Coturnix japonica: one gene and its partner. The main gene of each other region encodes a partner of the protein of the gene in region 2 in a complex. Links are inferred from orthologs where the notes say so. Each region holds a gene or a part of one and is shown on either strand. Other genes may lie near its edges.

Region 1 (15,785 bases), on a different chromosome or scaffold from region 2:
GCTTGCTGAGAGTTTGCTACCGTTGCTGCAAGAAGCAATTACAAGCGTATTAATGTACAGTACATCGCTGTACTTCATGGTACTCGCTTTCTTGGTCTGACTATTTATGCCACTAGGTATTTATAAAATTACAAAGGCACTCAAGGTTCTTTCAATGATTTCAGAGGGAACAGCCTGTGGCTCAACTACTAAGGCTGAAATATTTGTTCAGATAAAGGTCTGGGCTACAGAACTTAAATCCAGACAATACAGTGTGAGGGAAAGGAGTTTAACTAAATGACACATTTAAACTCTCCTGAGAAGGAAACTTTCCTTAGGCAGGTCATGTGTTCAGTACCTCAGTATGGCCTTTCAGAAGAAAGTGAAGTCCATTCCCTAATGGGTAACACTAAGTTCAAGAATGGTGTCAAACTAAGCTTGCAAGTTGTGGGCCAGATTAGACACCCACCAAGAACTCAGGCATAGTTCAGCATTGCTTTAACGCTTCCTAAGTTTAACTGACTTAAGACTCGGTAACCCAACGTCCCACACCTCTGTAAGCAGAAAGTCTGCAAACAGCAGACCCCAGCAGAACGAGAGCTTTCACCTCTACCTACTTTGCTTATTGTCCCCAGATGCCACCTCTGACAGGTATCTGTAGTAATCGCCTTTCATTTTCAAATAGAAGACCTTGCTTTCCGGCTGCGTGGCATTGACAATAAGGTATTTATCCAGGAGTTCCTGAGAAAGCAAACATTATTTTTATGACTTGGGAAGAAAACAAAAAGCAATGTCTGAAACCAAGCCTCCATTACAACAGTAAACACAAAGTGGTAGAACATGAACACGCATACTTGTGTGTAAGTCACTTCAATGTTCCCTCAACTCAGTAAGTAAAAAAGAAACCACTTGTATTCTTATCCTCAGAACATTTGAAGCTATTGAGAATCACTCCTGCAGAACCTAATGGCTATTGGAGCTTAATACTGCTTAATTTCCTAGAAATACACTACAGTAAACCTACACCCACAAGCAAGCTCTAATGAAGAGCAGCAGCCTGCTATTAGCACAGATGCAGTCACTTTTCCCACCACAGGTTTTAACTCTGTGCACATCAGAGAATCTGTAACAAACTGATTCTATCTGCAGCTCCAGCTGAAAACCTGAACAGCAGCACAGACAGCACAAGCGCACTCAGAAAGTGGTGAGAAGACTGAAAGTACTGGCATCATTTGTTCCTGAGGGTAGATCTGTAGCAAAACAAACAACAGAATAAAGGATCCCTCTCATTTAAGAGAAAGAAGCAACAGAACTAATTTTGGGGAAGTGCAAACCTTCTCCATCCCCTAAAAGGTACTGAACAATCCTCAGAAAGTCAGCATTCATTAACAAAACAATTTAAGCAAACAGCAAGCTTTTTAATCAGGATTTCTGCTATTGCTAAACTCACTTTCACACTGAGCACAGGCCAGCAGTTAGGTGGCCTTTAACACTGCCTTGCTCATTTCTATTTAAACAAAATGCTATTTTTAAAACATGTAAGAATACAAAAAATTCCTTGTGAAACAAACTATATTATTTAGGAGCTAGAAGTGGACTTAAACCCGTGGTTAAGCAGAACTGCTTCCCTGCTATGGTGATGCAGTATCTACAACACAAATAAGATTCCTTAAGGCTCTCTGAAGAATACTGCAGTACAAGCTACTGTTATTTTTGCTGTTGGATTATTACCAGAACATCATTGCAGATGTCTCTTAGCTCAGTCTCAATTTTCTCACGATATTCTCTTCCCATCTGCTGTTTTTTCTCATTCCTCTCTGTTTTCTGTTCAATGCTGGAAATCACACGCCAAGATGAGCGGCGGGCCCCCACAACATTCTTGTAGGCAACGGAGAGGAGATTCCTCTCTTCATTGGACAGTTCATGTCCTTGCTCAGTGACAGCCTTCATAGCAGCAGCCATGTCATCGTAACGCTCGGCCTGCTCAGCCAGTTTGGCTTTCTGTACCAACTCACTCTTATCCATGGCTATCCTGTAATTAGCAGGGAATAAAAACAGGAAAATACTTTTAGGTTGTCTATACAGCAAAAGTTAATGCTGATGGGTGAAGAACAACTCACAGTTACTAAAAGGTGGCAAGCTTACCCACTCCAATAGATACAAATGGCTTTTAGTGTAAAAAATTGACAAATAACAATGTACATACAGAAAGTATGTATAATCACAACCCTGAAAGCACATAACCATTATTCCTCATACTTCTGCAAAATCTAAATGAGCATGAAGGCACGTCAGCATGTTCCCTGAGTAAGTCTCTCCTCTTTCCCATAGCAGCCACAGCTCAGCCTGGGATACACCTCATCATGCTCTGCAGCAAGAATCAGCAGAGCCTTCATTTGTGTTGGTTGTGTATTAGTCTTCAACAGCAATTGTTTCAGAGCACAGGGCAGCTGGACAACCCCTCCTGACAGCAAGCATCTCCTGCTCACTGCTAGAGATGTTTCTATGGGAATGTACCACACCCACTATAGATACAGCTGACAGCAAGCACAGAAAATACATTTATACTGCTCTACTAGAAATTTATTCTTTATATATAGATAGATGCATGTCTAAAATGGGCAATTCCACACACCTAGAGTGGCTGCGGATTTGGGCTCCTAAGGTCTTTAAGTAACACAGACATTCACAGTAATGAATGGGATGTGGCCTGTGTAACAGTCACTGCTGCAAAACCAATTCAGCAAAGAAAAATGAAGTTACTTAAGAACTTGTCAGTATCAGACTGAGCACTGCATGTTCCTACAAGACAGCAGCAACATTTATTTAACTTGGACACTAAGCTAATGTTGTATTCCATCAGCTGGGCCCAAGTTTGCAGGAAAACAAAATGAGTCTCAATGCTGAGGACCTCAATGCCTCACAGACTCCCAGGTGTTCAGATTTATCAGTAACATTTCACCATACACTTAAAATCTGCACTTCCTGACAGCCCCAGAATGGTCATTTTCATTAGCACTGAGCAGTAAGATTCCTTTCTTGCTGCTTCATGTCAATCAGTGCTCTCAATGTCTAGATCAGAAATATTCAGTGTGAGACCTAAACAGCCTACAAACAACTCGAAAGAAACAGGAAAAAATAAATGAGAAAAATATATTCCTAATTGGCTTTCACAGGCTTCTATTAATTAGGCAAGAGACTGTAGCTCTATGTAAAGGATTGACAAAACACCGGTGTACATGTACACATACATAGTAAGACTAAGGAAATCACCAGACTGTTCACTATTGAAAGGATCTATTATAACTGCTGCAACTTCCCAAACCACTTCCTTAACTCAGCACCGTGTTTAGATGATGTGCTTCATATGGGAAGTAAAGCCATTTCTTCATCCATGAACACAGCACACCTGAAGAATGTCTTTTATGTCCCAAGAGCCAAATTTAAGTAACAGGACACCTAAACAAAACACTCTGAACTTCCTCAGTCTGCACAGCTTCTAGAAGTCCTGCCACCATCTTCTCTTCCTTTCAGGGAACACAATCATACATTAGCCCAAGCCTGCATGCTGAAGCCCAAGGCAAGCAATGCCAGTAGTTTACATTTCACCACTGAAAGGTCAGTCTGATCTTTGATCTGCGTTTTGCCAATAGTGGTCTGACGTGCACACAAGTCATTGGTCCACAATTCTGTTTACAAACAAAATGTAGATCAGTTTTGAAATGCTGAGGAGTTTGTTTTATCGAGCTAACTGACATATTTACCTTTGGATGCAAGTCAGTCTGTGGCAGCCAGTGGGTTCATGTAAGGATGTGCTGAGGGAATCAAGAGGGAACTGCAAGGACCAAGTGCTAGTGGATAAAAGAGCTCCAGAAACCACTTTAACACACCAGCTATACAGCAAAAGCATTAGCACAGAGCATTACAATGCTGCTTCTCAAATAACTTCCTTTAGTAGCACACATTCATGCACATCTTAAGTGCAACTCAAAGTCATTACTGAAGATGGAGCTCCTCAGATCTTCACAGGCTTAAATTAAGAATTCATTATACAGGGGTTTGAACTGTTGATTTATCTCAATATCTGTACTCTCAGCGTGTTTGCTATGAAACTGCAAAGTACTGTTCCATAAAATGGAGTTAACAGAACTTAAATGCAGCAAGGAAAACATTGCCCACACCAAGATGTCTGCAACCTGCCATTCAGCCTACCGTCACTTCAGCCACAGGGTGCTGTGTAAAGATCACCACTTTGTTCTGTTGCTTACCTTGCTAGAAGCCTGGAGAAGAGCTTTGCAGAGCTATGCTGGCTTGAGCTCCAAAAGAGGGAGGTGTTTGCCAGAAGGAAAAAAAGATACAAGGAAAGGAGTGATGTTTGAAAAGGCAAAGAGGCAAGTATCACTTATAACTAGTCCCTCCCATAAAGGAGATGGAAGCCACACTAACAATGGATCAGTGTGCCACAGTCTGAAACAAGCAAAGCCTAGAGCTAACAATAGTCCTAGGCCACAAACAGAAGCCAGCTAACAAAGGTTACCTGCAGCTGGGAGCCAGACACATAGAGGTGACAAACAGAAGGCCAACAGGAATCATCTGCTCTGGTACTACTGAAGCCATGCCATGTTGGCAAAAGGGAAAGAGGGAAGATGGACAAAGGAGGGAAGACGTGCAGATCACAGCCATGGAGGAGTTGCAGAAGTTGCCTGTTCTAAGCGGAAGATACTCAGATTTGTTAATACATTGAAAATTCTTAAGATTGACTTCTTAAGAATCTGTCAAACGACAACTTAGCAGCCCTCCGGAAAGAAGCGGTTGGGCACCACTTCCAGGAAGGAATGCCGCTATTAGCCAGCAGCTGCAGCCATCAGTACAAGCAGCCAGCAATTCAAAGCACCCTGATTCCCCGCACTCAAAGAGACAAAAACTATCTCTCCCTCATACAGCCTAAACTTCCAACCCGTTACAAGTGCAGGATTGTGTGTATAGACAGGAGATTACAACTGCTTACTTCCCTCCCCACAAAAAGTTTTACGTCTGTGTAGGTGAGAGCTGATACAATGACGAACACCTCAGGTAGAGCTCAGGATGTTTATAAATGCTCAGTTACTTTCAGTGCAAGGAGGAGAAGGTGTGCCCATCCTGGACACAGCACCTGAACTCAGGACACCCAGAGCACTCAAGAGAAGAGTGATGCACAGCAGTGGAGGTTTACTGTCAATAACAGCTGAAGAGCAAACCATGTAAGGTAACGTTCCTCAGAAGACTGCAAGTGCTTGAGGAGGACTGAGCATCTTGCTGCTCAGCACTTACAGCACCTGCTCTGCGGCCTTCACTGCTTCCAGGCTGAACCAACTCTTTAGGACAAAGCCAAAACAGATCAGAAGTAAGTGAGCTTAAGGTCTGTAGGAACTAGATGAGAAATGACGCTGAAAAAAAATCTGGCTTATGTAACATATTGAACTGACAAGACAATACTAATAAGCTGATGCTGGCCTGAAGTCTGCCTGTTCTTCTGATGCTAATTAAGTCATCGATTTCTGTGTATTGTTTTTCTCCTCACAGTAACTACCAGAGTCTGTCAGACAAACACTTCCACCTCATTATAAAACTACTGGTTTGACAAAGCCATCACTAACGAGTCACACAGAGATGCAATTTAACAGACTGATGTTTCACTGGGAGAAATGAGTATGAAATCAGATTCAGTGAAATGGGACACAATCATTTCTCGGTCACAAACTGTGTAGATCCGTTCAAATGGTAACAGGAAAAGCATTAGTGTGGTACAACATTTATGGTTCAACTACCAACACATGGATGTACCTTACAGGTTTGTGGATAGGCAATGAATTACAAAATTAAACATGTCTGTGAGGTACGTTCCATTCTATTTCTGTAATTATTGAGACTAACAGCTTTTATTCCTGAAACAAATGGCAAAGCCATCATTCAGGTGCACACACGCTGACAGCAGAGCTACAATGCTGGCAGAACCTGTGTGATACTGATGGCAGCCACCATCAAGCGGGCATCGCTCGGTCAGTATTTTCTGCATGAAAGGAATTGCCCTTCCATAAATGGAGTGCGATGAACCTTCTTTGCTTTACCTCAGCCATTTCACTTCGTTGTGTCTCTCTATTTCAGTTCCCTCCAAGGCAACCATCTATTGTTGAAAAACTGATCAGAAAATGGACGTCTGATACAATCACAACACTGAAGTCTTCTGCAGCCACCCTGAGCTTGGCTATGACAAAAGTTCAGTACAATATACTGCATGTTTAAGGAAGGGAAAAGAAAAATGGGTTTCACAGCTGTGATATTCTCACTGACCTTGTGCAGCACACAACACCAACCTCCTCTGTACCTGCTGATTAGAAATACATCCCGGCCTTCGGTGCTAATCATTCCGCAAACGTTAAGATCACATTAACATTCTATAAAGTCATGCCTCAATTTGCTGGGCAGCTTTCTGCCACCATTAATTGCTCTTTCCTCAAACTGATTTTCCCTATCATTTGGAAAAATGGTACAAAGGCTTTCAATCTCTGCAAATAACCATGGGATCTTCTATCAGAAGTAACAAGAGCAGGGATGGAAACTGACACTGTATGGACAAGTTGAGTTTAGTGACCGCAGCCTTACTGTCCCTATTGACTTCTGATGAGGAACTGGAGGCTGAGAAGCATTGCACTGCTCCATACCTATGGCACTTCACGCAGGACAGCTGCGGGTGGAGACAAGCACGTGGTTCCAAAGTACAACATACTTACGTGGTAACACCTTGTTCCAGTGAATGCGCCTTTAGCCCGAGTCCAAGTGCAAATAGTCGAGTTATCCCACAAAAAATCTCCCCCCAGGCATAAAATTAATGACAAACGAATGTATCTGTATCACAGGTAAATCACTTGTTAATAACAATCTGAAAACATTTATATTACAGCGTAGAGCAAAAAGTGTGGTCATATAAAAGCCATTAAAATAAGGCCTAGTCCTGCTGGGATTTATGAGGACACCAGACAGGCTGCAGTACAAGCTTCTCATCCCGTTATTCAAATAACTATTGACTTAACTCCTCCTTATTGGAGTTTATTCACATACAGCACAAAAAGCTGCATACCAGCAAAGGGCTGCTTACAAAAAAAAAGGACTCTATCAAAATAGCAGAGATCAGAACATGCAGTACTGACATAATGAGGTTGAGAAAACTGCACCGGGCCCATCTGTGCACTGAGTCTACCACTCCACTGGTACCAATTTAATAAACCAACTATTACATAAACTATATTTTTGCAGGTTTTTAATATCAAGAGTGAAGAAAACACTCACGTTCTTTTCTTTCCTTTTCTAGACCGATTTGCATCTCCATATTGCCTTCAAACAATGCAAGCTACTCTTTAAATACAAGTACTACAACTTCTGCCTGAGGTCCTGCAGCAGCGCATGTGTGAAGACACAAGTATTCCCATAACCAGGAATGCTACACAACCTTAAAATTCTTTTGTATTCTTCTGCTTCTACAACCCTGAGTGATAAACAGTTTTTCTTCCTACCCCATAAAGTTATTTTAACGGTTGGCAAGGAATTTAACTAAGTAACTGAATGATACTGCAATGGCAGCATGAGATACATTTTTGCCCTACGTGCTAACATAGCGACTGCATCCCACTTGTTATCATTCCAATTAATATCTAATTATACATACCTCATAAAGGCCTAAAGTTGTTAGTTCTAGGTGACTAACCCAACCTTCTTATATATTGGGGATAGCGTGAAGTCAGCTTTGCAGTCCTCCCTAAACTCATCTCTATCCCCAGATAAGAATAATTTAAGATTAAAAATAACACCATCGGTGTAACATCTTCTGAAGCACCGCAGACGTTTCATCTCATCACCTCTCCTAAACCTGAGCGGGCTCACACGGATGGGCCCTACAGCAGGCGCCTCGTAAGAGCTCCGGGCTTTGTGAGCGCCGCGAGAAGGCCCGGAGCATGGAGAGGGTCGTGAAGGGAGGAGCCCTCGGGAGGAGGAGGAGGAGGAGGAGGAGGAGGAGATGGAGGGGGCCGCCAGCCGTGCCGGGCCCTGCCCTGGGGGCGGATCGCCTCCTCCCCCCGCCCGGGCCGAGCCCTTCACGGGCGGCGACAGAGGGCGCGGGCCCGCGGCTCGGTCCAGGTGTGCGCGGCCTCGCCCCGCGGAGCGCGGTGACTCAGGCGGGTGTGGCCGGGCCAGAAGCCGCCCCGCAGCGTCCGCCCCCGCGGGAGGGTCGCACCGTTACTCGGCGATCGGGTGGGGACGAAGCGGCGCGGCCGGTTCCGCACGGCGCGGGGCCCTCCCGCCGCGGCCTCCACCTCCCCCCAGGCGGCGGGTCGGGAGCTGCAGGCCTCCCCTGCCCGCTCCCCGGGCTCCAGCGGGACCGCGGCGTCGCGGCCCGGCCTCGAGCGAGGGGCGGGCGGCCGCAGACCCTCACCTGGCGGGGGGCGGCGCGGAGCGCGGCTGGATCCCGACGGAAGAAGCGAACGGAGCGCGGCGGCCGCTGGGCGCACGCACACACACACCCTGCGGAGCTGCGGCCCCGCTTCCGGCCTCCAGGACACGCCCCTTCCGGCGCCGGGGGGAGGGAGGGGGGCAGCGCCGCCTCCTGATTGGACGCTGCCCGGCGGGCGCCATCCGGCTGGCGGTTGCTATGGGCTCCGCCCTGAGGAGACGGAAAATGGCGGCGGGGCGGGATGGAGCGGGGTGAATAAAGCGACGGATCCCAGAGATCCGTATCAACTGCTGCAACCAGAGGGACGGCCCGGGCCAGGCCCTGCGGTGGTTGTTGCATGGACTGAGAGTTTTATTTAAGGAATAAAGTCTTGGGCCGCTCAGCTTTTGTGATTTATTTTTTTTTTTGTTCGTTTGTTTTATTTCTCTCTGAGCTGAGGTAGATCCCAGGAGCAAACAGCTGATGGCAGTGCACCATCGCTGTGTGCGAGATGCTGCCCAAAGTGTCACCCAAAGAGAAAGGGATGGAGCTACACTGTGGTACTGAAATAAAGCATTCAAAATATCATCGTAATCTACTAAAGGACTTGTATTTTTTGGTTCTCTTACTCTTTTTTTCTTTCCCCTCTGTGTTCTGCATCCACAGGCTGGGCCTTCCAGTTGTTCCAGAGCTGAGTCACACAGGTCACTGATCACAATTTGTGTGTCTTTTAATGCAAGGGGGATAGAAAACAACAGCACATAATTACATTCAATCTTGGTAATTCCAGCCCCTGCCGTTGTAGGAAGGGATTCTGCGACAGTGAAAAGCTACTGGAAGAAGGATCACAGTCAGGTCTGCAGCAGCCTTTTATGACCCTAAAAGCAAGAAAGAACTGGCTGGGGAACTATTAAAGCAACAGTATTCCCATTTCTTGCAATAGTCTGACTTGAAAACTCATTTTAAATTCCCCCTGTGATGTTCAGGTATTTTCTAATAGGGAAATGTCTGTATATACTGTCAGCAGTTCTGTCATCAAGCTCAAACATCATCTGGACTGTGCAGATCATGGCAAAGTACAGAAAAATGGAGGTACTGCTACTCTGAACACTGTGATATTTTTAAACACCACTGTGTTTTGTATCACACCTCAGAAAGAATCCTTGAAGCTAACTGAGGTGGCAGGGGATGATGCTGAATGGAATTAGGATGCTGGTTTAAGGCACCTGCTATGACATGGGTGTCCAACCTTTTGGCATGCATGCCGTACTTGTAACAAACTGCACCAGCAAAGAAGACCTGCTGTCAGCACTACTGAAACACACCACCCACCGCCTCACTGTGCTCACAGCCAATGTTTGCTGTCCATAAACGTTCAGCAAGTGTCACTACATACCAACAGGGGGGCATTTTTTCCACATGGAGGAACTCAGTGACACGTCTTTGCTTCATACGCACTTCATACGCATCTTCCATTCGCTCCGATTGCCCCTCTGCTGCCATCTGTCATATGGCAGCAAAATGCCATACCACCAACGTCCACTTCTGACAGCATGGGCCAACATCATAAATATATGTAGTCAAACACCTATTTGATTTTGATGGTCTGAAGATTACTTTACACAACAAAGGAAAGAGCAAAACTGCAAAGCAACAGAGCAACATATGGCAGGGAACTGCGTGAGCAAGAAAATGTAAATGACCTGAATAGTAGAAAATGGTGTGATGGGAAATAAGGGCAGAATAAACGACTTGGACAGGGCAGAAATTCAGCTCCAGGAATGCAGTGTTGGCTGTAGCGTCCCAAGCAGAGAATGCTATTGCTGGGGAGGTGCAATGAACTCTTTGTCATGAATTAAACCCAGGTAATTTATTGCAGGCTGCAAGTAGTGGCAGTGCAGAAAAGCAGCATAAATAGAACTGAATGCACTGCTGTAAATTTTGTAGCTGTTGAGACCTGTGGAGTTGCTGTGCATTTCTAATGTCAGGTAACACCTAAAAGAATTCAAGGACCAAAAAGCAAGCCCTTCCAAGATGCCAGCTTTAGGAAATCCAGTTTCCAAGGGTAGAAGAGGGATGGAAAGGAACGCCAGCATCTGGGCTTTGGCTGTTGTCATGTTGAAGGCCTAAAAACCCAAAGACTGAAGAAGTACAGAAGCTGCCCAGAGCTCAGAAGTTCTTCATGAATAGAACATGGAATATTCAGCCTTCATCCTGTGCAGAACCTGACTGTCAAATAAAAGAGTTCACAGCAAAGAGCAGAGCTTTATCTACTCTTAAATAGGACCGCAATTTCCCTCTTCACATTTCTACCCAAGATCTCAGGTTGGGGCATGCAGCGAATCAACCACAAAAGAGAAGGTGGCTGTTCCTCCTCCTCCCCATGTAAATGACCCTGAAATCTTTGTTTTTCTCAGAGAACTCACACTGAGAGCTCTGAAGCAGCACGTTTCCAACCTCTGGCTTGTCGTTCAAGGTGTCTCTCTTAATAGACACCATCCAGTGGGCCGTCAGCAGCTTAACAGTCCATGGGGGCTTCCAAGGAAGTGGCCACTGATGGTCAGAGCTGGGGGATAACTCTGAGGATGGCACAGGGCTGATAAAAGAATTAATCAGTAACAGCATGGAAAGCTGGAAGGGCAGGTTTGTCCGACACTGGTGCTGAGGCTTATTTCATGCGCTCAGTGCTCGTAATTGCTTTCCTCCCAAGCAGTTCAGTATGCAGCTCTAGGATGGGCTTCCTAGAGCTTTCCCCAGCAACCCGGATAAGATTTCCTTCTAATTCATGTTTATATGCCAGTTCTTCCAGCAGGCTCCTGCATTTGAGGTGCGCTGATTAAACCAATGGGGGCAGAGGACGTGGGGCAATGCCTCCTCTCACCTCCTTCATTGCAAAGGTAGAACAGTTCTGCAGGTTTAAGCTGCAAACCATCCCAGCCTCACTCCTCACTCTGCTTTCCTTGGATTTTTTTATGTCTTTTTCTCTGAAAATAAAAGTCTGGTTTTCTTCCTGCCACCTGCTATTCCCATAGGAAAGAGCTGCTCCGATATCATGAAGGTGCCTCCACTCCCAAGGGCAAACAAAGGGCATTTCAGCACACCGATCTGCAGGAAATGTCAGTGACCAAATTCCATGTGTTGCTGGAAATTCCAGTGCTGCTTGTGGGCCACCCGAGTTCCCTCAGCAGGATCCTGCTCCCAAGAATCACAGAAAATGGGCTGTCTTCCTCAGGTTTGTATGGACAGAAAGTCAAACAGAGAGACGCAGGACAGCCAGGGTTCAATGTGCTGTTAGGCACAAAGCCCATAACAGCGTGAGGCTGCCTTGAAAATCCCAGCTGAGACTTCCCTGTTCATACTAAAGATCTGCCTGGTTCTGCAAAACATCTTTATTTCAGGCTGGATTCATTTATTGAATGCTCACAGAGCAGCCAGAGGCCAGCAGAGTATATGGGAAAGTGTTAATGCATTTACCTTTGGAGTGCCAGAACATAATCTAATTATCCATTTTAATGCCAGCTGCCTCGGAAGACAAAATGCTCTTAATAAAGAAGTGACTGGGACAAAGAAATGGTGGAATGAAGATAGCAGGGGTTTGCTCTCAAAGATGGATGAGTCTGAGATGTGGAGGGATAACAAAGCATGCAAACAAACAGTTCACAAACATAAATGTATCAAAGGATCTGTGACTGTAACCCCAGAGAATGAGACAGGATGTGTCATTTTGTTTTAAAACAATTTCCTGCCAGACTCTTTATGGGAAGCACAGCAAATCAAAGAGCCCTGGGACTGTGGGTGACAGCAGCCGCTGCGTCCCAGCGCTGCTCCCAGACCTGCTGCCCAGCAGCTGCTGCAAAGCAGCCCAGCAGAGAGAGATGTTTGAGCAGACTGATAGAGGTGGGAAATGAGAGGAGCTCCTGAGCACATCGACACACTGCTCTGGGTCCTGTAGTCTTAAAGACTGCAGTGATGGTGGTGAGAGATCAGCAAGGAGCCTTTACAGGTGGATCTAGGCAAGGACTTCCATATCCATATTAGCTGTGTCAAACCAGAATACAGCCACACTACAGCCACAGCACCACATCCTGCCCCCTTGGGAAATGGACTCAGTCAGATGCCATTGTTGTCATCTCTGACAGTTCTGAGCCTGTACTCCTCTCTTCAAAGGGCAGTTATGATCCCTCCCAGCGTGTTCCTTTGGTGCTCATTTCTCTGTGGTATTCTATGCCTGTGTATCTAAACAAGGAAAAGATCAGAAGCTGCGATGCCACCATCCCCACCATCATCATCATTGGCCAGACCTGCTGCTAGCTGTGCATTGCTCATGCTGTCCTTCTTCCATAAGCACGGCAATAAGACATTCCTGGGCACAGAGAGCAGGCAGTGCTGGTTGGGCACAGCACAGCGATGGCGGTGGCCCAGACAGGCCCTTTCTCAGGCTCTGTGCTGCTGCAAACACTCACTGTGCCCACCCTGAGCTCAGCTCTGGGGCTGACTACTCTCTGTGCAGTCCCAGGCAGGGATGTGTGAGCCGGCACAGCCTGCAGGCACCAGGCATAGAGAGCCCCTTGGGAACAAAGGAGAACTAGCAGGCCCAGCCTGACCCTGCTCTTGGAGCACAGTTTTCCCACTGTTGGTGTGGTTCCAGTTCAGCTGGTGAGGCTGGAAACACTGGAAACGTTGCTTCATGCACGCCACAAAGCAGAAAGCACTGAGTCCCAGGACTCTGCTCCAGGTGCTGCAGTGTCAGCTTGAGCCTCGTGGCAAAATTAACTCCTTCCTACTCAAGGATGAGCTCTGCACTCCCTGCAGCAATCAGTTAACACGGCCACAGCAGCTCCCTGTGGTGCATGTGCTGGAACCCAGGCACCAGCCTCAGCCTGGAGCTTCTTTGTGCCCCCAGGATCTCTCCTCTTGCTGCACACCCCATCTTGCTTTTCAAGAACCATTTTTCTACTTAACCACCAGCCCCAACTTTCAAAGTTAATTGGGGCTGGGGAGGTATAAATAGACGCTGGACCAGATGGAATCTCTGCTGTGGTTTATAGCTAGCTGAGCCATCGCATGTTCCTCTCATAGCCTGAGCAAGGGCAGTATTAATTATGACACTGCCCAGGCAGATTGCATGGGAGGTTACGACAGTGATGCTCAAGCTGAGGTTAAATATAACCTGGCCAGGACGTTTTGCTGAGTGAGCACGACATGGACAACCAGCACAGTTTGCAAGGCGTTTCTGCAGCAAGCTACAGGGCAGCAGGCATTTTGCTTTAAGAAATCACTGGCCTTGCACTTTCCCTGCACTGCATGATGTACAAAATGCATCTCAGTGTCACACACCATTGTCAGACATGGAGAAATCTTTACAAAAGCTTCCTCGGGAGCTCTGTGCATCACAAGCTGAATCAGATGTGCAATTACAGAGCCATGACTTAAGAACCTAAAACCCTTCTAAGCTTGATAGAAGGTATCAGGCCTACAAACAATATGCAGGGAGAATTTAATCTTGCAGAGGCTGCCGTTATTTGCAGGGAGAGATTGTGTTTGGGATTAAGAGCCAAATTACTGCATAAGTTTTTATTAAGTCTTTATATTTTCAGCCGTACCTCAGTATGGCTGCTTTGGGACAGGATCCTGGCTTTATGATGGACGTAAATCCAGAAAAATATTGCAGATTCTCTGAAATGGGCAAAATAGAAGCAGAAAAAAAAAGAAAGAATTTGTATCCTATCTGAGCTGCTGATTACTTAAAGCTGAAATACAAACATTTCATTAAAGCATGGATTTTCTGGAAGGCACCGAAAAGAGGCAAAAATATCTAATTTTCCCAGCATCCCTAGAAGCAACAAGAAGCCCCGGGGGATTACAGCCAGGATGGCTGGGTTGGAAGAGGCCTTAGAGCCCACCCAGCTTCCCATTGCTCTTAGCTGGCACCCAGCTCAGGCTGCCCAGGGCCCATCCATGGCCTCAAGCACCCTCAGAGATGGGTCACCCACAGCTCTGGGCAGCAGTGCAGGGCAGTGGGCAGGGACATGGTCAGCTGGACCAGGGCAGGTTGCTTCTTGCAGAAGTAAGGATGAGCACATCTGATTGATGATGGCAGAGGGAAGTAATTTGATGTCTTCTGGCAGCCCTACTCCTGTACGAGCCATAACTTAATCACAGCTGTGTGCAGAGCTGGCTTGGTGTGAAGGCAGCGGCCAGACCTGCTGCTGGTGAGGCTGCAGCCAGCTTCATTCCAGAGCACAGCAGCTCAGTGCTGCGATGCCAGCGCTGAAGGGACTCAGTGCTGGGACACCTCCCTGTGCCCACCCATCAGGGAGAGCCATCCTGAAGCCTGGTGGGAGCCCCAGCTCAGGCACAGATGAGGCAAAGCGAGCCCCTGTGCTGGACTCCCCAAGTTCCCTGCTCATCCCCAAGGTCCCCAGGCTGCTCCCCCGGTGCTGCTGGGTGATTAATTCAGTGTGAGTAATTTTGGAGCAGATGATCTCATTGCTGTGGTTCCTGCTGTTTCTCCTGCAGAGGAAAGGAGAGGAGGGGGCGGTGATGGCAGCAGGGGCAATGCAGTGTTCCCCCCCACCCTCCCTCGGGCTGGGGGTCCCCATGGCCAAAGACAATGTCAATTGGAGCCATCCCCACATATTCATAGGAGCAGAGCACAGCTTGAGAGTGCTTGGTGCTGCGAGCTGAGCAGAAGGAAATTTGCTGGCAAATTGATTTCTCTCAACAGAGGGCAGTTTAATCATTTAGGCTAATAAGGGCTCAATTATGACTTTGCAACAAGGCCAGTGTTCAGGGCAGCGGGTGGCTGCTGGAGAGCAGCTTCGATGCTCAGTCCCTGTTACAGCAGAAGCCCTGCTGGGGTGTGGCCAATCCAACCGGGACTGCCAAGCTCTGTCCTGCCAGGGGATGGGGAAGGTTGCGCCCCTGCATCATTGCCACAGCCATGGTGGCATTTACAGAGTGGCAGGGACACACAGCGTGGAAAACCCATTGCATGGGACACCCTCCTGCTTCCCACCAAGAGAGCTGGCAGTGCTAAGGAACATGAACATGGTCCTAACCATTCAGCCTTTGCTGGAGTGCTGAGTGCATATGGGTGTATACAGATGCAGATCTACAAATATATATCTTCACATACAGCTCCATTTTAGTTGTTTCCCCCTCACCTTGTGGGTGGAGTGGGGCTGATGCTGGCCCTGGCAGGACTGTGGGTGCAGGGCAGCCTCAGCACAGCACTCCCATCCTGCTGTACCACCGAGCACCTGGAGGGAACCCTGGGAAATGGGATGAGATTAGCAAAGCAGTTGAATTATTCTAAGCTAATAAATTACCCAGTCCAGATGGC
Region 2 (13,821 bases):
AATCCTTTACTTTGTGGACAGATACTGGTTTTGGAAAACATGAGCCTGCATACGTGTGTACACATAGGGCCGTCATCCTCCCAGAGCAAGGAGGATGGTCACCCAACAGGAGGAAACCCACAAGGAGGATAAGGACGGACCACAGCAGTGCTTGGGCACCCAGGGAGCACCCGGGGCCGGGATGGGCACAGGTTTGAGTATGGATGGGCAATTCAGGCACACTGGGAGGTGTGAGCACACACATCCTCAGGGTATCCTCAGGCAGTGTTAGAACACACTTACCGCCTCGAGTCATTAGAGAAGGCGAAGGAATACACGCCAGCAGTGTGGCCTTTCAGCTCAAAAGCCCTGGTCACTTCCCGGAAGTCACCTTTCTTGCCAAAACATACTTCCCAAACCTTCACATCGGGAGTAAAGCCACACGATGCCACAAACCTGAACAAAATAAAATAGTCTATTACAAAGTATCACTGTGGCTGGGTTATAGGGTCAGCTCCACAGCCACTGCACCACTGAGCTTCCCACTCAGCAGCAGCAGCCTGAAACACCTGCAGGTTCCTCACCTCCCGCAGGGTGATACAGTAGCATAGGCATTGTTCATCTGGTTAGTGTTAATGCTGGCAAGGACTTCACCCTTGGGGCTCCAGATCAGGATGGTAGTGTCACTGGAAGCTGTCATGATAAACTTCCCTGGGGGGAGGAAGAAAAAGGCAGAGATGAGGAGAATTCCTAGGCCTAAAGCTGCCATAGTCACCAACAGCTGTAATGGTTCCTAAACAGAGAAACTTGTCTCTGCATCAGAACTGTCAGGAAACCAAAAGCAGCACCAAAGCAGCAGCACTTTTCTCCTGGCACAGAGCACAAAGCCGTGCCAACAGGCCCATGGCCGGGTATGTACCAGTGTTCAGTCAGGACTCAGCAGCTCACAGCTGCCAACCCAGAGCCCCCCTGAGCTTCCACCCGGCACCTTTCAGATCCTACTTGCAGAGCTCAGTGCTACGCTCAGTCAATGCAGCAGACTTTATCAGGTTGTGCTTTAACCAGGAGAGGTATCTAGCTTTCAAAGTCAGGGATTACAGACTGGTAGATGATTAGAAGTCACACTACGTTTGTCCTGGATTACTGGTGGCGTCGCATTTTGGATATTTGCTTGTTTCCACTTGCTGTGCTTTCACTTTTCATCTCAGCACGGACACTGAGTTCAAATTTATCTTCAAGCTACTTGTTACAGGGTTTCAATTTTCACTCCTGCAGCCAAACAAAGACCTCAGTTAAAAATTCATGGACTTTTCTCTTACAGAGTGGAACGTGCATCCACCCGCTGCCAACTGTGCGCTGCCACGCAGCTGAAGCACGAATCCACCAAGCCTCAGCCATCAACATTCACCCTTCTCAGGCTGTTCTAGGAGATACCAAGGGCCAGCCTACGCTCCTGAACCTGTCAACTGACTGCAGCCATTTCTCACTGGCTGAAGCAAGAGCAACAAGCCAGACAACAGTGATGCTCAATACTGAGACCACGACTCTTTACAACAGTGTCCCTGAGAGCCTAAAATAAGACACTGCAAATCAGGCAATTCTAAGCTTCCTTAGAGATTTCTCTCCTCAAATTGTTTTCCAGCTTACTCAATAGTAAACAAAGGCTAAGACACAACAACTAGAATAACACAGAATCGAGCAGGCCTTGATCAAGTCAAGGACTATCAACATGTTCAACCCAGCGGCTGTTGCTCAGAAAGGAAATCCAGGTGGGTGTGGGGGCACAGCAGGGGAGCAGCTCACCTGTCTCTGCGACTCCCATGTTAATGACGGGAGCTTTGTGCTTCTTTGGGAAATCCTCGGAGGATGGTGTGAAGGTGAAGCTGTCGTCGTCCTTCTTCGTCACTTTATAGACACGAATTGTCTCTCCGTTTGCCAGCCAGACGAGGAGCGCCCTAAGTGGAAGGACGGGAACCGAGCCGTTAAGCAGCAGGTTGCCGTGGTCGGCCCAGCTCCGGTGTGTGAGTTACCGGTCACCGTGGGGCACCTGGGGGAGAGGTGACACATCAGTTGTTTTATGAGGGCTCGGTACCTGCCCTGCGGTAGCTCCGTCCCTTCCTCTGCCCTCAAAGCAATTCAGCAGCACCGAGCTGCCTCCCCCGCAGCTCCCGCACCCCCCTTATACCGGCCGGCAACGCGGGTGTTGTGACACCGCCCCGAGCCCCGCGTTAAGGCGGGACGTCCCGCATCGCGCCGCCGGTGCCACACGGGGTTCCGGCCCCACCTGCCGTCGGGGCTGAAGCGGACGAGCTCGGCGTGGTCCAGCTCCACGTTTCCCCGCACGCTGCGGTGCTCGCGCGCCGTGAAGTCGCGTGTGCTCCAGAGCCGCACGGTGCGATCGTCGGCGCAGGACGCCAAGTGCTTCCCATTGCTGCTGAAGTGCAGGCAGCTCACAGCGCCAACGTGACCCTGCGGGGAGCGGCCGTCAGGGCCGGGACGGGACGGGATGGGACGGGACGGGGGGCTCCAGCGGGACGTGGGGGCGGCCGGTACCTTGAGCGCGGCGGCCAGCAGGCGGTGCGTGAAGCCGGGCTCACGCTGCGGCTTCTCCCTGCGCGGCCGCGGCTTCGCCCTGCGGGGACTGTCGGGGCTGGAGGCGGCGGGGCCGGTCAGCACCGGGCCGGTCAGTGCGGGGCCTGCGGGGAGCGGGACTCAGCGGGGAGCGACCGCGGGCAGGGCGGAAACGGAGCGGTACCCACAGCCGTACCCACACCGGTACCCACAGCCGAACCCACACTTGTACCCACTCTCCCGTCACCCCGTGCCGTACCGGTGGCCGTTCTCCCCGGTGCAGCCCGGCGCAGCGCAGCCGCCACGAGCAGCGCGGCCACGAGCAGGAGCAGCCCCAGCCCCAGCGCCGCCTCCATGGCCCGACAGCTCACGGCCGGGCGGGGCACGCGCTGCGCATGCGCCGACACACGGCCCCGCCCCGCCCCTTCCTGGCGCGCCTCTCGTTTGGCCCCGCCCCCTCCCACGTGACCGCGCGTGGCCGGAAGTTGCGGCGGCGTGTTTCTATGGGGGCGTTAATGGCGCGGCCGGTACCGGGCCGGGTTTATGAGGGCTTTAATGGGGCCGGCGTATGGCGCAGCTTTAACGGGGCCGGTTTATGGCGCAGCTTTAATGGTGTCGGTTTAATGGTGTTGCTTTATGGTGCGGACGCGGCCCGGTCCCGTGAGCGCCGTCTTGTTGTTGCGGTGTCCCTTTCCTCCTTCCCTCCCGCCGTCCCGTCCCGGTTGTCACGTGTTTCCGCTCCCGGCCGCAGCGCGCGCCGCCTGCTCGGGGACACGCGCGGGGTCGCTGAGGATGGACGTGGAGACGCTGAGGAGCCGCAGGGAGCCCAGGATCGCTGCGGGACACGGGGCACGTCACGGACCGGACCGGGCCGGCTGCTCCCACCCCCCGACCGAGCGGCGCCACGTACACGGCCGGAGCGCGGGGAGGGAGCAGTGCTGCTCCAGCCAGGCCAGGGACGTCTGCGTGAGGCTGTCCATGCTGCTGGTGGACACCGTGCTGTTAAAGGACTCGAACAGGGGCCGGATGATGACGCTGAACTGTTGGAGCGGTTAAGGACGAACGTGGCGGTGGCCGCGGTGCCCTGTGTGCGGCCAACAGCGATCCTGCCTGCACTGCGCTGTGATGGGCGCACACAGCACAGCACAGCACAGCACAGAGCACAGCACACAGCACAGCACAGCACAGCACACAGCACACAGCTCACAGCGCACAGCACAGCACAGAGCTCATAGCTCACAGCACAGCACAGCACACAGCCCATAGCACAGCACAGAGCTCATAGCTCACAGCACAGCACAGCACAGAGCTCATAGCTCACAGCACAGCACAGCACACAGCCCATAGCACACAGCACAGCACACAGCACAGCACAGCACACAGCTCATAGCTCACAGCGCACAGCACAGCACAGCACACAAACACCCAGCTGAAACCATCATGTTCCTGGGTTTGCATCTGATCCTTTCCCAACCTCTAACCGATGGCTGCTGCATCTCAGCGCCAGTTCCAAAGTTATTGGGAGCAATTGCCCGTGTAGCAATGCCCAGCTCAGTCTGGGCACTTCAATCTGCTCCCCAAGGACTGACCGTTTATTCCTACCCTGCTGCTCTCTAGTAACAGAAGTTTCTTCTAAGCATCTGAGCGTGTCCCCTTCACGTGTCACCCACAGAACGTCTTGAGCAGCAGGGATCCCACACAGCTGGGAGGGGAGGGCGGACCTGGTGTGTGGTGGAAGGGGCACTGAGCATCCAGTGCTGACCCAAAGGATACGATCCAGAACTTCCAGTTGTGCAGCGTGGAGGAGCGCACGTAGTCGTCAAACATGCCGCGCATCTGGTCGAAGCGCTGGCGCGTGATGGGCACCCCGGTGGCTGGCAGCTGCTCCTGGCACAGGCTGTGAGGCACAAACAGTTCTGTGGGGCCACGGGTGGGAGCCTGGGGCACACGGCAGCTGCCCCACGTGAGAAGAGGAGCCCGGTGTGCCGCAGGGCTTGGTGGCTCTGCATGTTTCAAGCAGGCAACACCTTGTGCTCCGTGCCCCCCTACTTGATCGAGCTGTTGAGCTCCTCAATCTGCTCCCGCAGCCGCTGCGCCTCGTCCTGGAGAGCTGCCCGCTCCTGCTGCAGTTTGCAGATGTACTCAGCAGTCTTCTGCAAGGTGGTGGCCTTGCTGACCTGCAGGGTGGCAGAAGTGGGATGGTGCAGGGAGCCTCTGGGATGAGTAGGGCACAAGGGGCTGTGTGCCCCATTGCTGAGCCCTGGCATCAGGCTGCAGCCCTTAGGCACCACAACGTGCATGCTGGCACAGCCCAGGACCGTGTCATCACTAGGCAATGTTCTGTGTCCCTGCACGCCTGGCGCCAGCCCATGCAGCACTGTGTGCTCACCTTAATGCTGGGCTGGGCACTCAGCGTGCTCACCAGGCTGTGTAGTGTGTCAAAGCCCAGCTTGATGTTGAAACGTCTCTTCTGCTCAGCAGAGATGTGTGTGATGCGCCGGTTCTCCATCTGCAGGCAGCAGAGATGGCCTTGGGCCTCTCCCTGCATTGGAGACAGGCTGGCCCCAAGCATTCATCGAGCGTGGGGGTGAGTGTGGGGGGCAGCGGGTGGGGGTGCACGTGGAGAAGCTGCCCCTGTAAGAGGCAGCACTTGTTCCCACCGTACCTTGCTGGAGTCAGGCCTGCCCCGACGGGATGAGGGATGGTGCAGGGAGACGGTGGCACTGGGTGGTGGAGCAGCTCCTGGGGACACCTGGCTGGGCTTGGGCCAGTCACTGCCTGGGGGAGTAGAAGGGTGCACTGGAGAGAGCGTGAGCACTGCAGCGCTGCCCTGGCTCTGGGGCAGCAAGACCCTCAGCTGACGGCCCCGTGTCTGACCACGTCTTGTTGCCCCAACTAATCCCAAATCACTCTCATTTTTACAAGACATGGGAGCATTTGGGACATGAAGTTTTAAATTCCCAGCGGGGTGGAAACCACCAGGAGAGTCCTGAGTGCAGCAGGGCTGCGGTTTGCAGCACTCAGCTGGAAGTGGAAATGAGCTTCCTGCTCCGGTCTGGTTTCTGTGGGTGAACGCAGGGCGCTTCCTGCCTCCAAACCCGGCTCTGGTTTTCAAAACCACATTCTGACACTTTGCTACGTTTTGTATTTTCCTGTTTATGGTTTTGCCCCCAGAGAAGGAGCCAGACGAATGTTCTGTGCCCTCCCCAGCAGAAAGCAATTGCTCTCATTCAGGTGGGTAATTAAAAGCAGTAGGAATAAAAAATAAATTGAACTTTCTCAGAAAAGAAACACCAAACACTAAACCCCGTGTTTGGTTCAAACTCCCTGCAGGAACCGGGGCATCCTGCGGGCACCCAGACTCACCACAGACCAATGTTGGGGAGAGCCGCTCAACCTTGGGGACACGCAGCGACCCTGGGGCTGCACCTGCCTGCAGCACAGGCACCTCCTGGGAAGGGCTGGAGCCAGGAGACAGCACCGAGCTCAGCTGGGCCACTCTGGGCAGGAAGACGTCAGGAACATCGGGGACATTGCTCTGCTGCAGAGGGAAGGCAGAGGGAAGCAGGAGGGAGGTTGGGGCAGCGCCCCATGCACGCCAGGTTTACACAGCCCCTTTGGTTACTCAAAACCCGCAGTGGGACCAGGGAGGGAGCCCCACAGGGCCCTGAGGTCTCTCCCAGCTCTGCCATTTCTCTAATTGGGGCTGACTCCCACCCGGCCTCACTCTGAGCTCCTGCAGTACCCTGACCTCCAGCCCCATGTACATCTAACTCCATTTTGCAAAGGGCTTCACACAGAGCTGCTTTCTCTCCTTGTTCCCCAGCAACAGGAAAGTAATTCCCAGCCAAAGGGAACAGTCCCCAACCTGGAGATAGGTGGGTGCTTACCGGAGAGGCCGGGGACGCGGGCATGAGCGCGGGGCCATGCATGTGTGGAGCATCGAGGGCTGGCTCCTGCTTGGCTGCAAGAAATCAGAGAGCAGAAGGGCCCTTCTGCGTCGGGCAGCTGGTGCTTGGGTGACATTTTCCTGCCCCATGGCAGTGCCAGCCCCGAGCTCCAGCCCACATGTCCATCTGCCCCAGGGAAGGCAGTGACGGCTCAGGGAGCAGCCCACCTCTCCCAGCAGCCCTGCACCCCAACACCGCCACCCTCAGTTCCCCTGTCACCCCTCACCTGTGGCCAGCAGCTGGGTCAGGCAGACGTTGGGCACTGTCAGGTGTGGAGGCACAGGAGGGTCTGGCGGCCTCTTTGCCTTGGTGGCCTTCACCTTCGGCCGCTCACCCAGGGATGGCCCTTTTGGGGTAGCAAACCTGGGCGCAGGTGGCACGGCGGGGTGCAGGTGCTGGGGCGCAGCTGGGCTGGGGTACCCTACGGGCACCACGTCCATGGCGTAGCCCAGGCCCGGGGTGTGCTGGGCAAAGCACGGCACGGGCAGCGGGGATGCAGGGTGGGTGAGGAGCGAGGGGCTGGGCGAGGGGGGGAAGGGGAACTTGGAGTGGGGCACAGAGGCGGGGGAAAATGGCGGCTGTGAGCCCAGCAACGGTGTGCCAGGGGCCTGGCTGGGGGCGGTGTAAGGGAGACTGAGCGGCTCCGTGCCGAGGCACTTGCTGGGGAAACCATACTGCAGCAAGGGCTTGGGTTTGAGCTGGGGGCTGAGGCAGCCAGGCACAGCGGTGAGGGGCTCGGGGGCCAGTGGGGGCTGCTCAGGGCCAAAGAAAGCACCGTGGAGGCTGAGCTGGGTGGCATCACCGGGCTGTGGGGCACACGGCTGTGTCAGGAGGGGTGGCTCGGGCACCGGCAGCCGTGGGTCATGGGCCAGGGTCCCGCTCACCTGGAGGAGAGGGCTGGGTGGGAGTGGGGCATCGGGGCCGGCGGGCACGGTCCCTCCATTGCCATAGAGGGGCTCAAAGCAGGGTGGCTCCTGATAGCCCAGCGGCATCTGCGCAGGCAGCGGCCGATGGCCAACGAAAATATCTGTGGGGTGAAGCAAAGAGATGGTGATGGGCAATGGGGGCCTGGGGAGTGCTTCAGCCCCTGGAAAGGGGGATGCAAGGTTGGGGCGTGCTGGAGGGAGCTGCATGCCGTGCCTGGCACTGGCAGGGACTTGCTGGCATCACGTTCAATTGGCAGGGCTGGAACAGCTCCTGGCTGTATGAGCAGATTTGGTGCCCTGGTTGTGAAACACCAGAGCTTCACATGGCTGGAGGGAAGAGGCAGCTCGTGCACAGCCCAGCCTGGCCATGCACAATGGGACAGGAAAACCCGCCCAGGAACACCACCCAAGGGTGGAGACCCCATCCCCAACACCCAGCTGAGGCCGCATGCTCTGGCTGCTCTCAGGGATCTGGTCTCTCCCTGCATCCCCACAGCCAGCCCTGAGCTGTGCAGTAGCTGAGCCCTTATGCTGTGGGGCAGTGGCAGAGCTGGCAGATGTGGGGCAGCCCTGAGGACTGTCCTGGAGTCACAGGGGACAGTCCCACTGGGGTTGGGGCAAGTGTTGGCCTCCCAGCCCCAGTCCTGCTGTGCGTGCTGCCTGTGGCTAACCACATCCCATGGCCTTCCCGAAGCCGAGCCCCGTGACCCAGCCACGACTCCCTCTCCCTTCCTGTCTCCTTCCCACAGCCTCAGTGCTTCCGCAGGCCCAGACACCATGGCACAGAGTGCTGCCTGCTGCCTGGGGCATCACCTCCACACTGAGTGGGAGTGCTGGGTGGGTTTGCAAGCAGCTGCCTGACACGGGGTCTGTATCCAAGCAGCTTCTCCAGCTCATGAGCACTCACACCTCCACTGTGTGTGCTCAGCTGCCCTGAGCCCTTCTGAGCTGCTCCTGCCCATTCTGTGTGCCCCGGGTGCTGGCCATGCTATAGGGCTCCTGCAGGCTCTGGCACAGGCTGCCTTGCCTGGGATGCCCTGGCTGGAACAAGCAAAGCCTCTGGGACTGGTAACTTTTTGAATCTACACCTGAGGAACAAATGCACGTGCAGAGGGAAATGCCATGACCAACCCTAATCGCACCTGCTCTGCTCAGCCCTGACATGGCCCTTTCTCTCCCAGCCCTGCATGCAGTGGCTGCAGCCAATGTGCCCTGGCTGGGGATGGCATTCAGCTATATACCCCTCATGGATGGGCAGCAGCACTGCCGCCCTGCTTCTTCCAGCCCACAGCTAGAGGCAGTTGGCCGCTATCTGCACAAGCATTCCCATGCTCATAATGGCCTCCAAGGCGCTCAGAGCCTCCCAGCTCCACCATCCTTCAGGGCAGCAGCTCATCCTCCTCAGAACTGAACTCTTCCTGCTCCCAGTGCCACCCAGACTGGGGCTGGGACACACCGAATGCTCAGGAGCGCTGCAGAGCCACATTATTGACAGCAACATTACAGAACCATGACACCTGCCCTCCAGAGCTGGCGCTTGGTTTGCACAGGGGCACAACTATGCATGGTTAGCAACCCTAATGGTTGCTGCCTTCACAGGGAGTGCAGCACCTGGCTCCACACTGCACCCAACCCTCATCTGTGCCCACGCTATGCCATCTCCTGTGCACACTGTGCCATCTCCTGTGCACACTGTGCCATCTCCTGCTGCTGGCACCAAAGCTATGCATGCATTTATAGGCGTTTCTGATGCCCAGCTCTGCAGATTCGATTCCTCTTGTGTTGCTCGCTGTGCTGCCGCAGTGGGTGGCAGATGCTGCCTGGCACAACAGCTGGAATCCCCCCGTCCTCCACCTCTCCTTTCCCTTCCCCACCCTGCAGCTTTCACCCCTGCTCCTCTCCGCTCACACTGCCCTGACCCACTGCCGAGCTGTGTAGTGCAGCCCGGGCACGGTGCCACCCGGGGGATGAGAGCCTATGTGGTCAGCACCCCATGCCTTCAGCATTCTGCTCCAATACTGGGTGCTCTCCAAAGAGACTCCTGTTACAGAGCCTGCTCCCATGGCTGGGACACTCCGTTGTTGGCCCTTGGCTCTGGGAAAGCACGGCAGCACCATGGGGTGATGCCACCCCGTCAGCCTGGCCCCAGGGCCCCAGTGAGCAGTGCAGGTCCTACCTGGAGTGCAGTGCCAGCAGCACGCAGGTACTGGGCTGGGCTGCTCCCTCGTCTCTGCCATCGGGGCTTCTCCACCCCCCCACGCTGCGCTCTGGCACCCACTGAGGACACGACGTGGTTCCTCATTTGGGGATTGGCCTGTGCCTGCTGACTGACAGGCACCAAGCTCAGTGACAGTCCCCAGACACGGCGATGGCCCCGTGACCCCACTGGAGTCCTGAGCCCCTGCTCTGCCCTGCTGGCCTTGTCTGTAAGGCACAGACCCAGGATCCAAAAGCCCTGCACACACCGGCGGCAGAAGTGGCTGTGGGGACTTCCCTCAGGGCTGGGTGCACTGCAGCTCTGGCACACAGCGCCCAGCGTCTGGCAGCAGCCTCTTCCTGAGAAGGGGCTCTCCATCCTCTCACCCTACAGCCCTGTGGCCACAGCAGCAGCCCTGCACAAACCACAGCTGCACCTGCACATCGTGCAGCACAGTGACGGCGCTTCGTCCCAGGCAGCACCCCGGGGAAAATGCTCATAGAAGCACGTGGCTTTGGATGGGCACCACGGTGCCATGTGCCATTCCCTGCTGGAGGCCGGGCTGTGCCGCACTGTGCTCACGCCAGCAGCACCAGAGGGAACGTTGCCCATAGACAGAGATACTGGGGCTGCTCTGTGTCACCGTCAGGTGCTGCTTCAGGGCTCAGAACAGCCTCCCAGCTGCAAAGGACCTGCAAGGGGAAGGACACTTCTCAGGTGTCGTTCTGACCCCTTTGGGGTTTGCCCACGGTTCAGCCCACAGGGACGTGTGGGGGCAAGAAGTCGCGATGGCTGCACCCCTGGGCTTCCCAGCTCGGCACACCAGGCTGCCCCATGGCTGCCCTGCTCCCCACCAGCATCTGGTCTTGCATCAGCCGGTGGCTGCGTGGTGCAAGGGCCTGTGCTTCCTCCAGCAGAGGGAAGTGGGAGGTGGAGGCGGCTGCAGTGGCAGGGCAGGAGCCGTGGGCAGGCTCTGTGCAGGGCACGGACATGCTCTGAGGGCTCCCAAGGCCGGGTGCTCCTGAGGCTGCTTGCGGGGTCCCACCCTGCACAGTGCCCGTGCCACCGGCTCCAGCACATCTGAGGCCTCTGGTGTTTCGTGCATCAGCGGTGCCTGGCCTGGCACAGCCCGTGGGTGCCCTGCACAGGGCACATGTGACAAGGACACATCCTGACTGACTGCACAGCTCATGGACACCGCTCTGCTCAGTGTCCTGTGTCACAGGCAGGTCCTGATGGTAGGAGGACTGCAGGAGCAGGTGCTGCCAGGATGGCTTGCTTGTCCCCTGCTGCCCCTCAGCAGCCCTCTGCCTGTCCTGGACACCACCAGCACCACATCTGATTTTCAAGGCCAACCTGGCAGCAACTGTGACCTCAGAAGACACAGCACAGCCCATCATGGGGTCCCAGCACCCACCAGCTGCTCTGCAGCAAGAGAGCAGTGATAGGACAGTGGTACAGAACCTGCTCCATAGAGGTGTCCACTTTCTGTGGGGATAACTGTCCTCTGCCTGCAGCCAAGCCCAGGTGGCTTCACTCTCCTGATGCAACTCTCTGCTGGCAGAAGCCCCTTTCCACAGCTCCCAGCCCCTCCCTGTCCCTCTGCTGCCCCTGCGTGACAACAGATGTGCTTTATGCCTCCCCCGCAGCTCCTGCTGCTTCCAGGCCAGCTCAGCTCCATGTTCGACTGCAGGGTGTGCAGAGCTGCACAGATATAGACCAGCTCTTACCTGATATCTCCATGGTATCATCCAGGCTGGGCTGCAGAGGTGCCAGGTCAGGCTGGATCATGTCAGCATTCCCAATATATGCTGGAAGACAGAGCTGCAATGTTAGGGTGCTGCATCCCCAGCTCCCCACCTCAGGGCTGGCACTGCTGACCTCACTAACAGCCACCCACAGCCTCTCCCTGCGGGTCGCACCCTGCCCCACAGCACAGCGCAGGGACCATCCTCTGGGGGTATCCCATTCCCACCATTCTGCCCAGCAGCTTCTCAGGGGCTTCGTGCAGGGCCCTCAAACTTCTGGGCAAGGCTGCAAAGCCAAGAAGTAACAGTGTGCCAGGACTGAGCTGTCTGCCTGATCCTCCTCCTCCTCCAGCAGGAGTGCGGCCCCATGCGGGTCACCTACCGTCCTCGGGGAGCTCCTGGTGGGCGCTGGGTATCTGCGTCATGGTGAACAGGGTGTCAGAGATATCCGAGAGGAACGTGTCCAAGTCAAAGTGCTGCCTACCCCCCGGCTCCTCCTCCTCGTCCCCCAGCAGCATGGGCACCACGTTGCAGAAGAGCTGGTTGCACCATTTCTCTGTCGGTCTCCAGGCATCCTCGTCCTGCACGAGATGGTGCAAAGGAGCCGGTGGGCACTCCTTGCAGGCAGTGCCCATGTCTGAGGCTTCCAGCTCGGCTCACTGGTGCTCCCAGAGTCAGGCAGCACCCCAAGTGCCTTCCACAGCCATTGGGGCCATCACCGACCATGGCTTTCATCTGCCCTTCTCCCGAGCTGCCCAGGGCAGGGATCTGCGCCTCGTCCCACTGTCCCTGCCTGCCCTTCCCCATCACACTCACCTGCTTTGGGCTGCAGAGCTCTCCCTCCCGGCTGGACTTTCGGAGCTGGAAGGAGAAGGAAGCCTGGACTGGCGGCTGGCAGGGCTGTGTGCAGGGCAGCTCAGGCTCCGGCCCAGGCTGCCCCTGCTTCACATCTGCCCCCAGCACTCGGGCACAGCGGTGCAGGGCTGCACCCCTTTTCAAGATGAGGAGGGAGGAGGCTGGCACGGCGCTCCGCCCCGCGGGCAGGCAGCCAAGGCTGGTGCCACCTGAACCAGCACCAGATTATCGCGGCTGGGAGTGACACCGGGGTGACGCTGGGCCACCAGGCCTCGAGACACGTGCTGCCGGGCTGAGCCGCGGCTGCCAGCGAATCCCAGCCCAGCTCGGGCCCGCAGCGAGTCCCGCTCGTCCCACTGCAGCACGTGCACGGCAGGTGCAGCGCCGGGCACAGCCCTGGCAGAGCCGCACACCGGGCACAGCCGGCTGGATCCGGGCTGCTGGGGCCGGGAACGGGGTCACCGAACCCCGCCACCATCGCTGTGGTACAACCGGCAGCTCCACTTTGGGCACCATGATGTGCCACCCCACAACCAGGGGCAGCAGGGCAGCGCCGCTCACCCGCTTCTTGTAGTAGGTTCTCCACTTGTGGTACTCCCTCATCACCACCTCGATGCGCCGTTTCCAGTAGTTGCCCTCCAGCACCACGGCCTGGAGGGGCAATGCGGGTGTCACGGCCGTACGGCACCACGGAGCCAACCCACAGCCCCACACCCGCAGCCCACGCCTGCCCCAGGTGCCCCACGGCCGGGACCGCTGTCCTCAGGACACATCACCAACACTTTATCGCTCAGACTTCATGAACACAGCAGCCAATGATGGGAGCTCTGCTGCCCTCAGCTCCTCACTGTGCCCTCCACACCCAGATCCAGCTGCCATGACAGCCCACACTCTACCTCTGGTTTGCGGTGCTCGTCAGCCTCCGACCCCTCCAGGGGGGTGATGAAGCCACACACTGGGTTCTTCCTCTGCTCCACATCTGCCCAGGGGAAAACACAGTTGGCTTTGTCTGCAGCTCCCCCTGCACGTGTCTGGGCACTGCTCTGACGGTGCCTGCAGGGCTGGGCACACACTGTGCCATCGCAGGGAGCCGGGTGCTCAGCTGGGAGCAGGCAGTGCCCCATACTCACACTGGATGTACCACGCTCTCCAGATGGCATTGTTAAGGCGGATTTTATCCCGGCAAAGCAGCCGCTGCCCCTTGAAATTCTTCCACTTCGGTGACACCAGCTTCCCACTGCAACACCGAGCAGAGGAGGAGCTGAAGGGGACCATGCTGGGACCCCCAGCACAGCCCCAGTGTGAGAGCTTTGCTGATCCTGCAGGGCCTCCAGAGCCCCAGGATCACAGCATGGCAGGCAGAGGAACTGATTGCCCAGAGCTACAGATACAGCTCTGAGCTGGGAGTCCCCAGCTGCAGGGATTCCTGACCCCGACTGCTCCCATGGCTGCACCAAAGCTGCTCCTGATGGGCAGCATCCTCACGTGGAGCGCTGTGCGTGCACTCCTCCCTAGTCAGAAGGTTGTCCCTTCATGATCTCTGTTCTGCTCTGGATTCCTGTGCATGCAGGGAGGAGGAGAGGCTGGGGCTGCCT

What was found.
Region 1: the proteins of MLXIPL (region 2) and YWHAB are in contact, whole or in part, in a crystal structure (PDB 6YGJ), measured with the Homo sapiens proteins. The link is inferred for Coturnix japonica from reciprocal best matches to the Homo sapiens genes MLXIPL and YWHAB. Residues at the interface, in NP_116569.1 of Homo sapiens: Asp118, Ile120, Arg121, Asn124, Ala125, Trp127, Arg128, Ala129, Trp130, Tyr131, Ile132, Tyr134; in NP_003395.1 of Homo sapiens: Gly55, Arg58, Ser59, Trp61, Arg62, Ser65, Ser66, Gln69, Lys70, Arg129, Val178, Tyr181, Glu182, Asn185, Leu218, Gln221, Leu222, Asp225, Asn226, Leu229, Trp230.

What each region holds. Positions count from the first base shown.
Region 1 is NC_029535.1:4,605,591-4,621,375, forward strand, and holds the start of YWHAB (14-3-3 protein beta/alpha), read right to left. Parts: upstream 8,580-15,785; 5' UTR 8,444-8,579; intron 2,012-8,443; 5' UTR 2,005-2,011; coding exon 1,711-2,004; intron 721-1,710; coding exon 597-720; intron 26-596; coding exon 1-25. UniProt on the Homo sapiens protein: Adapter protein implicated in the regulation of a large spectrum of both general and specialized signaling pathways. Binds to a large number of partners, usually by recognition of a phosphoserine or phosphothreonine motif.
Region 2 is NC_029534.1:126,642-140,462, forward strand, and holds the end of MLXIPL (carbohydrate-responsive element-binding protein), read right to left. Parts: intron 13,464-13,821; coding exon 13,357-13,463; intron 13,206-13,356; coding exon 13,123-13,205; intron 12,878-13,122; coding exon 12,788-12,877; intron 12,233-12,787; coding exon 12,188-12,232; intron 11,953-12,187; coding exon 11,754-11,952; intron 11,435-11,753; coding exon 11,354-11,434; intron 7,528-11,353; coding exon 6,727-7,527; intron 6,515-6,726; coding exon 6,441-6,514; intron 6,092-6,440; coding exon 5,917-6,091; intron 5,329-5,916; coding exon 5,216-5,328; intron 5,093-5,215; coding exon 4,940-5,092; intron 4,728-4,939; coding exon 4,600-4,727; intron 4,448-4,599; coding exon 4,324-4,447; intron 3,591-4,323; coding exon 3,461-3,590; intron 3,386-3,460; coding exon 3,276-3,385; 3' UTR 3,086-3,275; downstream 1-3,085. Other genes in the region: TBL2 (transducin beta-like protein 2), read right to left, coding at 283-435, 564-690, 1,783-1,934, 2,264-2,448, 2,533-2,675, 2,810-2,906. UniProt on the Homo sapiens protein: Binds DNA as a heterodimer with MLX/TCFL4 and activates transcription. Binds to the canonical E box sequence 5'-CACGTG-3'. Plays a role in transcriptional activation of glycolytic target genes. Involved in glucose-responsive gene regulation.